Schizosaccharomyces pombe: one gene and its partners. The gene in region 3 interacts genetically with the main gene of each other region. Each region holds a gene or a part of one and is shown on either strand. Other genes may lie near its edges.

What was found.
Region 1: of cay1 (region 3) and rif1, changing one enhances a phenotype caused by changing the other (phenotypic enhancement), as found in Schizosaccharomyces pombe (one study listed by BioGRID).
Region 2: mutations in cay1 (region 3) and tls1 impair growth when combined (synthetic growth defect), as found in Schizosaccharomyces pombe (one study listed by BioGRID).

The regions. Positions count from the first base shown.
Region 1 is NC_003424.3:2,764,617-2,768,216, reverse strand, and holds the start of rif1 (telomere length regulator Rif1), read right to left. Parts: upstream 1,945-3,600; 5' UTR 1,848-1,944; coding exon 1-1,847. Other genes in the region: tpz1 (telomere-protecting protein), read left to right, coding at 2,784-2,897, 2,954-3,051, 3,095-3,345, 3,392-3,426, 3,465-3,600. UniProt on the Schizosaccharomyces pombe protein: Negatively regulates telomere length. Appears to play no role in transcriptional silencing of telomeric loci.
Region 2 is NC_003424.3:637,157-640,991, reverse strand, and holds the start of tls1 (splicing factor Tls1), read right to left. Parts: upstream 1,601-3,835; 5' UTR 1,582-1,600; coding exon 817-1,581; 3' UTR 594-816; coding exon of another isoform or gene 45-593; 3' UTR 1-44. Other genes in the region: grh1 (GRASP family protein), read left to right, coding at 45-593; peptidase Oct1, read left to right, coding at 1,681-3,835.
Region 3 is NC_003423.3:1,711,096-1,714,930, reverse strand, and holds the start of cay1 (cactin), read right to left. Parts: upstream 2,065-3,835; 5' UTR 1,829-2,064; coding exon 1,703-1,828; exon of another isoform or gene 1,657-1,702; coding exon 1,405-1,656; exon of another isoform or gene 1,350-1,404; coding exon 1,257-1,349; exon of another isoform or gene 1,211-1,256; coding exon 758-1,210; exon of another isoform or gene 675-757; coding exon 45-674; 3' UTR 1-44. Other genes in the region: kinesin-8 family plus-end directed microtubule motor Klp5, read left to right, coding at 3,010-3,040, 3,097-3,835. UniProt on the Schizosaccharomyces pombe protein: Plays a role in pre-mRNA splicing by facilitating excision of introns featuring long spacing between the branchpoint and 3'-splice site (ss).

The DNA of each region.
Region 1 (3,600 bases), on a different chromosome or scaffold from region 3:
GATTTCGAATATAAAAATTTGTGAAGCGATGAGCATATGCAGCATATAGCTCGGCCAGTCTCTACAGACCTTTTAATTTCCTTCTGTCCAGCACTGGCCAAACACTTTATATAAGTACTCCAAACAGACGAACTTTGTTCATAACTAAGACCTCGTATATGCTGTTTACGAGCAGGCGTAGTGGTTTTAACAGTATGATCTGGTTTGGCTAATAAAAGTAAAGTCTTGACCGGTTCAATTGTCCGACTACAATTAGCACGAACCCAAACAGGATTGAGCTTTGGAAGTTCTTTTGCTTCTACCGATTCACGGCAAACCAAGCGGTCATCTTTCCAAACTCCATTAGACAGCGTGTTAAAGAGAGCCAAAAGTATGTTAGAAGACTCAAAAATAGTAACCTCGTTTTTCAAGGCACACTTTTCAAGTATGTTGACAATAACTGAATCCCACAGTAAAGAGAGCATGGCATCAGAGATTCCGGGCCTCAAACATGCATATATTAAAGCAATCAAAGTAGTCATTGCTGCATTCTTTACTGTTGGCAAATTCCTTGAACCTAGAACCATGGAAATAGGCTGACACAAAAGAGTTAACCGCTTGGTAGCTTGTGTGAGGGTTTCAGAAAGAGAAAACTCATGAATTAAACGGATCCAAGATGTTTGGGCTGCACACTTAGTTAAAGGATTCATGCTGTTAAAACAAAGCTGAATAATTTTAAGCCATGTGTTAAAGTATTCCCATGAGGAAATTCTTGCACCTCCCAAAACTGATATGATGGCAGCCCAGGCATGAGCCACATAGACACCGTCGTCTTCTTCAATGACAAGCTTCTCAAATTGCTCTGTCATGATAAGAACAAATGCAGTTCCCTTAATATCACTTCTAAAATTAGCGAGGATAGTCCGTGCGACTAACTTGTCGTGATACAAATGTTTGCTCAGGTCCAAAGCAAGTAATAACGCTTTCTCACGGATAGGCCTTGAGGCATCAACTAAACAAGCTAGCAGATAAGGAGCCCAATCAACTACACGACGCGAAAATTCTAGTGGAAATTGGCTTAAAATTTTTGTTAAGACAGCTAATCGCTCCTGACCTATAACAAGGGAAGGGAATGAAATGTTAAAACACACGTCTAAAATACGATTACATAAAGGGTGAATGGAAAGAGGGCATTTTTGACAAGAAAGAAGATGCAAATGCTGAGCCGCGAGTGCTTTAGTTAACTTTGGTCCTTCTAAAAAATTCAGCGACTGCTCAATGAAGACTGTGGCAGTTTCTGGTTGAATGTGAGAAGAAATAGTTGGATGCCAAAGAAGTATGCTGAGAAGTTTGTTTGCTTGAGTATTCAATTGAAAATCGGGACTACCCTCTGAATTGTTAGAGCATCTATCCGATAATAAAAAATTGCAAAGTTGATTTAAAAGGGGGAATATTGGATCCTCGGGAAGACTTGGTGTATAGATTTTCAAAAAGGAAGACAGTTTTGAGTATGTTTCGATTCGAGCAGATTTTTCAACATGTTGAAGATTTTCTATTCCGGAACAAAACGAGGATTGTAGTTCTTGCAAGGAAGTCTCTTTTTCAGATTCATTTCCTTCAAAGGATTGAAAATTTGGTTGTTTGATACTAGATAGAGGTGTTGAAGTTTTTAAGATACCTCGTTTGGGTAAACCGAAAGATGGTCGATTTCCACCGGGGGAATTTTCTAGTTCACTACTAAAATTTACCTTCTTCTTACGAATCGAACTACTAGGTGAGCTGCTCAGTCCTACAGCTTGTGATGATGGGGTTGAAGGTTCTTGTAGAAGCATATTTGAAGCCTCCTTCACAGCAATTTCTTTTGTCATCGCAACATCAGCTGTTATGCTTTTAAAAATGTTTTAGCTTCATGGGACCGATCGCACCAAAAAATTGCACAAATAAGTTTATTTACAAAATGGTGGTAGTAGGCTAAATGTGAGTTGAGTTATAGATGTAAACACTGTTCAGCACGGTACCAAGCTATTGAGATCTTTAACAACACTGAAAAAAGCTAATTTATTCTTTCAATTATGAAATTTTTTTTACTTATTTCTGTACACCAATTTAGACTTAGCAGCAGCAAATTGAAGTAGTATAAAGAATAAAATTGAAAAGCAGATTGGTTGTATTGTTGATCTTTTATAAATAAATGTCCGGTAATTGCTTCAATCTTTAGTATGTTTGATATCCGCACATTTAAAATGCGTGGTTAAAATTCTTGTAGTAATAAGTGCAGTAACTAAATAACTCAGTACATTCTTAAGCCAATTCATTCCACCCTTTATTAACTTATCACCAAAATTTTATAAAACAGTTCTAAGCAAAAGAAAATTCTTGCCTAATTTTTCAAGTTTTGTCGTCTGGGGTAGAAGGTTACAGCAATTCCTTTGAAGTAAGTCAATTTTGTTAATGGGAGATACAGCAACCTGCTATTATTTGATTCTTCTCTTATAAATTTTTGGATGAACCATTACTAAATACATGAGTAGTAACTTCTAAAGATTTGGAATACTGAAAAGTTGTTATCCAAAATCTAGATTGAAAGTGCTTTTGACAGTAACTAAACTAGAAGAACCAAGTCCTTGGAGTTGATGATAATATTTCAATTATTTTGTTTTGAGGAAATGATGAATGCAGTGTTCTGCTGACCTTGCTTTCAAGAAAAAAAGTAGACGATTAAATATCAACAGACTTCAGTCAGCACTGTTACTTATTAAAAAAAGTTGATTTTTATATAAAAGTTAGCTGCGTTAAACAGTGCAATGTCAAATTGCTTAAAACATCCTTGGCTTGAGAATGGACTATTGAATTTGATCAAAAACGCAGATGTCCTTCCGATACGTGTATTTAAATGTCAGCCTTTACAAATATTTGAGGTATTATACTTTATCTTCTATCTTTCGAACCAATTCTGACTATATTTAAACTTCAGTATATACGATACGAACATCCAATTCGATGCAAGCTATCCGATACAGAGTTTTACATTGAAGCAGAGTTTTCGTCTCAGAGCATTTCGGACTTAAATAAGTATGTTTCAATTTATCAGCACAATATTGATTGTGATTTTTAGTTTTACTGAAAAAAGGATAACATCTTTAAGAGGAGGTATCGTGACATTGGGCAATTTTTTAATTCACTTAATTCCTAGTCAATCAGGCATTATTCCTTGGATACAAGTAGAGTCATTTAATTTTCAGGGTTGTGAGGGTGCTGTTTTTGGAAACCCTAAAGCTATTACAACTTCTGCATTGTTTAATGCATTGCTTCAATCACCTTATCTTGCTGCGCTTGCCAATGAATTTAACCGATCAATTAAAGAAGGTATTATTTGTAATTTTACACGATCTATAATTGACCCTTTTTCTAGGATCGTCTTACCAGGAAGCCTCCCTTAGTCAACAGGTATTTTGTAAATTTTAGCCAAGTTTACTAATGTCAAGGAAAAACCTAATGACAATACTAGTAATTCTAGAGATATCAAAAATAACATCCAATTTCATTGGAAAAATATGACTTCCTTAAGTATAGAAGAATGCATCATTCCAAAAGGACAGCAACTGATCTTAGAAAAGGAGT
Region 2 (3,835 bases), on a different chromosome or scaffold from region 3:
TAAATTATGTGCTAAGATAAATTATTTGACTAACAATTTAACAGCATCTCAACAGACCCTTACGCCTGTATATCTACAATCATTATCGCGACTCCACTCGTCAAGTTACCATTGTCCCAAATCGTCATTGGGGAGGTAATGGAGCTATTGGATGTGGTGTTGGACATGGCGTCTTGCATCGCTTACCCGCTCCTTTGTCAGGACCTCCTCCACAACCTGGGGACATTGTGTTTTCAAATCCCATGCTGGGGGGTCCAGATCATAAAGTGTCTCAGCCCAGTGAAACTGAAAACTTTTTGCCTACTCCAGAACCACCTAAAATCGCTTCTGCTAATGCTGGATCTAGCAATGAAATATCTATCCCGCACTATCAAAGACATAAGAAGTCTCATAAAGGCGCTATCCAAGATTCTTCTATTCAATCATATTTAGATGAAGAAGAAAAACTAAGCAGAGAATTGGATCATAAAACCAAAGACGCTTCTTCTACTAACGATTCCCAAACAACTCCTTTGCCTCCTCCTCCTCCTGTCGCTGTTAATTCAACAAACGATGAATCAGCGCCTCAAAATGAAGAACTTGTGAAAAATTAGTTATTTAGTTAAGCTCGTCTTTTCTAGCAAAAGCCCTCTTTTTAATGCCCATAATGATTAAAAGTTACAAAACTATATTTTTGATAAATAAACATTTGAGGTTTTGAGTAAGGATTTTATAAAACACAAACAAACCTCTTTATCCGAATTGATTACTCAAAAAATGTAATAAATAATTTGAATTAATGAACCTTGCCAAACTGTTGCTTCTTTTTTATTATCGTTAATCCTGAGTTCCATCCTTGTAAACGCGAAAACGCCTGTAGATTCCCTTACTTTCTTCATCTTGGGATATCGGTTTTAACATTTTTTCAATAAATTCATCCCGAGCAGCGTCCTCAGAGGTGCGAAGAGCCTTCGAGTCTAGTTTTTCTTTCATTCTTGCTCTTTTTTTTTGTCGTTTCCGACCATTTTTCAAATTATCAACGTCGGTACTAATAATCCCTAAATCTACTTCACGTATAGCACCAAGAGCAGCTGCATCTCTAATAAATGAATGTTCATTTGGATGTAAGGAATTTTTTATGTTTTGTACCGTCGATTCATTTTTTGTATTAAGTGCATTAGTCTCTCCATTTTCTGAGTAGTTTTGGGCCAACCTTTCCTGTTTCAGTTTTTTTTCAACAAAGTTTAATAAATGCGTGTTGATGTCAACCTCGTTTGTTTGTTTAGCAAACCTATCTTCGACGGTTGGAAGTTGCGCCTCTATAAGTTTCGACGATTGAGCTGAGGTCTGATCATTAGCTTCATGAGGCTCATTAGCAGTGTTCAATTGTTTCTCTTTTTTTGTTTCTTGATTTAATAACTTTTCAGCATTTATCCCGATAATCGAATTTCTAATTTTTCGCCTCTTAGTAGCTTCCAAAGCTTGCCGTAGACGAATATCATTATCATCTAATTCTTCTAAATCAAATTCTTTTTCATTTCCAAAAACTTTTCTTCTTCTGAACGATCGATTGCTTTTCTTTTTTATATGTATACTATTCATGCGGATACTTTTTGTGGTTGGTATTTCAAGTAAACCCTCCTGGAAATATATACCATTCATATAGCCTGTACATGTACCAAAAATTTGTCGCATATTACGATGCAAGTAAGAACTTTGCTTACATTGGGAAAAAAAAAAGTAATTGGAAATAGGCAGTGCATTCTTAGTCTTTATCGAAAATATTCTAATGTTCAAAGTCGCAAAGCGGAAGACCAATTGTTGCGTCAAATTTTTGATGATCAGAATATAGCTGTGAACCAGATAACGAAAAGAAATGGAATTCAGGGAGTAGGATTGTTTCGTAATCACTTCCTTTCCGACAAAGATACCGGCTTCCTAAGGCTCGCGGAAACTGCATCTGAAAAATGTAAGGCCGTGATTGAGGATCTTTTGCTCGAGGATACTGAAGACGGGTCAATTGTAGTCAGCAAATTTGACAGGATTTCTAACTTACTATGCAGTGTCATTGACCTTTTTGAGTTTGTGCGCTGCGCCCATCCTGACAAGATGGTGGTAATGAAAGCAGAAGAAGCTTACAGTTATCTATTTGAGCTGATGAACACTTTAAACACTCATCAAGGTCTTTACGAAAAATTAAAGTGTTCTTTACAACAGACTCCTACGTTGAAAGATACAGATCCTGAAGCATATACTGTTGGAAGAGTATTCCTCCAAGATTTTGAAAAATCGGGCGTAAATTTAGAGAGCTCGAAAAGAAACTCCTTTGTTAAAAAGTCCTCTGAATCTGCAACTCTTGGAAGAGCATTTTTTAATAATAGCATGAATCGTCCTCAGCGTTATTTAACTATTTCTAAGCAACGTCTGGCTGGTTCGGACCCATATTTTGTACGCTCACTCTCTAAGAATGACAAAAACTTTATTATGATTCCAACTGTTGGATACGAAGGTACACAGGCCTTGATTAGTGTAGCAAATCCCGACGTCAGGAAAGAAATTTACATGGAAGGTCATAAAGGAACAGTTGAAGAAGTCGAATTGCTAAATTCCTATTTGAGGTCTAAAGCGGAAGTTGCGAAACTAGTGGGAAAAAGTAGTTTTGCAGATTTACAACTTATAGATAAAATGGCTAATGCTCCTAAACATGTTGTTGAATTTTTAGAGAACTTATCATTAAAAAATTCTTCCGTGTTAAAAAAGATTTTAAACAATCTCGCGTTAATGAAGAAAAAAGAGTTAAACTTGAATTTTCTTCCATCATTTGATGTTTGGGACAGGGAATATTATACTGCTCGCTATAAACAATCTCTTATAAATCAAAAGCCTTCTTTAAACCCTTCTATAACGAATTATCGGCGTTTTTTTTCTGTTGGTACAGTTATTCAAGGTCTATCTAGACTATTTAGTTCTTTATATGGGCTTCGTTTTGTTCCAGCGGACATTTCCCCTGGTGAGGTATGGCATCCTGATGTAAATAAGGTCAATGTTTACAATGAAAATGATCATGTAATGGGTGTAATTTATTTCGATCTATTTGCTCGAACAGGAAAAACAGATGGAGCTGCTCATTTTACAATTCGTTCTTCTCGGGAATTAGACTTGACAAGCTTTGACGATTCTATAAGTCTTGGATTTGATGATGCTACTAATATAAGGGTCAAGGATAACAAACGGTATCAAATACCTGTCATTTCGTTATTGTGTAATTTCGTACGTTCTAGTGGAATGGATCCTACCTTTTTAGATTTGTGGGATGTGAAAACACTTTTTCACGAGATGGGGCATGCCATGCATTCCATTCTAGGTCATACTAAATATCAGAACTTAGCCGGAACTCGTTGTGCAACCGACTTTGTTGAACTTCCTTCAATTATTATGGAGTTTTTTATGTCAAATCCAGCCGTATTACCGCTTTATGCTCGCTACGAAGGAACTGAGATTCCATTACCTGTACAAGTTTTGAACCATCATAACATGGTTGAAAATAGTTCAGCACCCTTAGATTTACAATCTCAAATTTGTATGGCTATGGTGGATCAATTGTTTCACTCGAAGGTTGTCTTAGATCCGTCATTTAATTCTATCGATGAAGTTACTAATGTAACCAGAAAGTTCAGTGGGTTTGAGTCTGCTCCACCTGCTGCTTGGTATCTTCAGTTTAGTCATCTTTATGGATATAGCGCTACTTATTATTCATACATTTTTGATACGGTATTGGCTTCGCTAATCTTTAGTAAACTTTTTGCTGGAAATCCATTAAGCCGTGAGGCTGGTGAGAAATTTCGTAAAGCCATCC
Region 3 (3,835 bases):
TAATTTAAATTTCATTAAATGTACAACATGATAAATCAGTTATTTTACCTTCTATGATGAAGCTTTTTGAATCGAAAATGGAGGGATAAAACACCATTGTCAAAACTGCTTTTAAACCCATGATCTCGTTTTGCACTGTAATCCCAATCTTTATCTACTATACTGAAGGCAATATCCTGATATGGTTCCCCAGCTATAAAACGTATAATGCAAACATCGTCTTGTAAATCAGTAGTGTCGCTTTTATTCTTCCTTCGTGTTCGTTCTATTCGATACGTTGGTGCACGGCCTGTACCTATTAAATCTGGATAAAAAACGTTAAAACGGTACCCTTGAACTGCTTTGGGAGGTGGGTGGGCTTCATTGAAATGTGCTTGATTATAAGAATTCCATTCAAACCCAAGCAAAACTCTATTAAAGTAGTGAGGCTTTTTCAAAGTAACCCCGTTTTCGTTAACAACACGGGTTTGCCCTTCTACATAGTCCCCAAGCATCTCTTGCTCCTCTGCATCATCGGATTGTAAGTATTCTCTTTCGAGTCGTGCCCTGTTGGCAATTGAAAATTCATCCTCGTTAATCAGATTACTGTTTTTCGGCAAAGTTGGCTTTTGTTTTTGGGTAGGTATCGATATTGGAATATAAGTGCTAGACTTTACAATATTGACATGATCATTCTAGAAAAGATTTTGGTTAGGACAAAAGATGGAAATCGTAATTTGGAAGAGAGTTAATATTATGAAAAACACAAATATCTTACCAATTCTTTTTCATAATCGGCTTGTTCTTCAGGTTGTATCCTGCGTGGTATCGCTTGAGCCCTCAAAATGGGCTTCGGGTCTATAGGGACAATATATAACTTCTCTTCACGATCCTTCATATTTGACAGTTTTTTGGCATCGGAAAAAGCTTTGTCCCATTCTTCATTATCAAGTTTATTTTTTCGAATTTGTAATTCTTCATTAAAAGTCTTTTTTAAATAAGCAATGGCCTTGTAAGATTTTAAAGAGTTTAGTAAATCAACCCAATAATCTGTATCGAGAGGGACATTGCTCTTCAATTTTTTTTGAATTTGTGCCTCAAGCTGTTCTAATTGTTCAAAAGATTTAGGGGCTAAAATCCTTTGTACTTCACCTGCTACGACCTTTAACCCTCTTGAAAATTGCCCAACTTTGTTATGTTCCATTCGAGAATTCACTAGCATTTTAACGTACTATAATGTATAATTTAGCACTTAAAGCATAAAAAATAATCCATACCTTCCAATAAGTTAGTCTACATTGGTTCGTTTCCAGCTGCTGAATATCACCAATATTTCTAGATATCTCCTCCAAATCTTCTGCTTTATAACTCTAAGTATGTTAATGATTAATCTGTTATAAAGTAAAAATAAAATAAGTCCCTTACTTGAATAACAGAGAGTGGATCAAACATGTCAACTGTTCCAAAATCAATTGAATTTTTTTCTCCATTCTCTTCCCATTCTGGGCCTGGCATCAAGTAAACGCTGACAAGAAGTTTATCTATAGGCTTAGAACGATCATTCTTAAGTCGAATAATAGCTCTTCGAAGCTGCTGTAAACGCAAAAATTCCCGTTCTTGCATTTCTTTCGTTTCCCTACTTCGCTCTTCCTCTTTCATAGCATCTCTCACTCTCGGCTAAAGGGAAGGTTAATTCAAAAACAACTAACATTTTCCTACTTACTAAATTATAATTTGCTCTTGCATTTTGATTTGAAGGTCGAAATGAACGAGGTGAAGAAGATCTCGAAGCATGCCTTTTTTCAGGTCTACTTCTGTTGAAATCGCGAGTTGAATCACGAAATGCCATAGTAATATATTTAAATTCAATGCCTTAAATACCAATATTGCTGTATGAAGGGTGCTTTCCAACAGAAGAGAATCCAATTGCTTTTTTTTTATTTGAAACAACTCAATGAGTAGGTTAAGTTTTTTTTTTTGAAATTTGAAACGTAGAGCTTTGTTATTTGATAAATGAACTTAAGGTAATCAATTACTTAGCAATAATAAGACTTATCCAACAATAGTAAAATTTATGGTTATGGCAAAGGTGAAATTTTATTGCATATTCGAATGCTTAGTAGGTAGTTCTAATTTGACGCTTGGTGGTTTGAAAGAAATTGAGCGGTAATGTTATAGCACGAAAAACCCCTAATTCATTATAGTTGCTATTGGTAAAAGTCTCAACGATATCGACTAAAAGGTGAAGTAAAACTCAGTATTTAGTACCTAACGAATATAGGAATACCCAATATAAAATATAGAATATAATTTTGTTTATAGCGCTCACTAGTCCTCTGCTTTCAAACTAATCAGATATTTAGGCCATCAGTTAATTGGCAATAAAGTAGCTAGTGCAGCAGTTGTGGTGTTTATAGAAGTGCTAGAAGAATATATACACTTATTTGATGTTCTATTGCAATTATAGGTGAAAATGATTTAAATTTGTCGGACGATTTATTAAAGTGTGATAAAAGTAAAGCAAAGCAAGAATCTTGCCAGGCATGTGTACATTATAAGTTACAAACCAAACGATAGCGATTCAGTTCAATCATCGAATTTAGTTGCCTTTTATAATAATAAAAATACTGTAAAAGCATCTATGATACTGAGATAGCATTATACACAACTAGTGAAAATGAAAAGGTAAAACAGTATTTCAACTCGATTTTAATCGTAACTACCTGTATTTGTGTTTATTGTCAAAATATGTAAATAATGTAATTGTTTACATCTTTTATTGCCATAACAACCATTCAAAACAAAGTGCGTTACTTGACTAAGAAATGTAACTTGGCAAATGCCAAACAGTCAACATTGAAGCGCACTCAAAAAACGCGTTTCTCGCTCTTTTCTACTGTTACATCTATTTTAATAGTGATCTTCGATATAAATTGCTTTTATTCAAGAAGGTTATTGGAATTGTTGTTTGCGAGTGCCCTTCTTTTCATCTGTTTTGGATGATTGCTTGCATGGAAATTTTGCTTTTCAATGTCAAGACAGTCGTCCATTACCGTTACAGGTTAGTCTTTAATGTGATGTTTTTTAAATTCATATCTTTTTGCTAACATAAAATAGTCCGTGTTCGCCCATTTAGTACAGCTGAATCTGCAAATTTAATTGCATCCTCAGATCGTTTATCATTTGGAACATCTTCTTCCTTAAGGAACCCTGGTTCAGGACGTCAAATTCGACGAGTAGTAAAGGTACTTGATGGACGTGTCTTGGTATTTGATCCCCCGGATGAAACAACGGCTACTTTGAGTGCCACAAACCGCAGACTTTCTACTTCTCAACAGAGTCTCGCTAGATTATCTAGAAAGTCAAACAATTCTGCGGGATTTGGCCGTGATCTTCGTTATGCTTTTGATAGGGTTTTTGATGAAACTGCTACTCAGCAACAGGTGTATGAGAGAACTGCCAGGCCGTTATTAGACAATATTTTGGATGGATTCAATGCTACTATCTTTGCATATGGAGCAACTGGATGTGGTAAAACTCACACCATTAGTGGAACAATGCAAGATCCTGGTTTAATATATTTGACACTAAAAGAACTTTTTGAGAGAATGGATCATTTAAGAGATGAAAAAATTTTTGACCTTCGCCTTTCCTATTTGGAAATTTATAATGAAACTATTCGTGATTTATTAGTATCACCGACCCCAAATCAAGCAAAGCCATTAAATTTACGGGAAGATGCAGACCGTCGCATTACTGTACCAGGTCTTACTTCTTTGTCTCCAGAATCTTTGGAAGAAATCATTGATATTATCATGAAGGGAAATGCTAATCGTACTATGTCTCCGACAGAAGC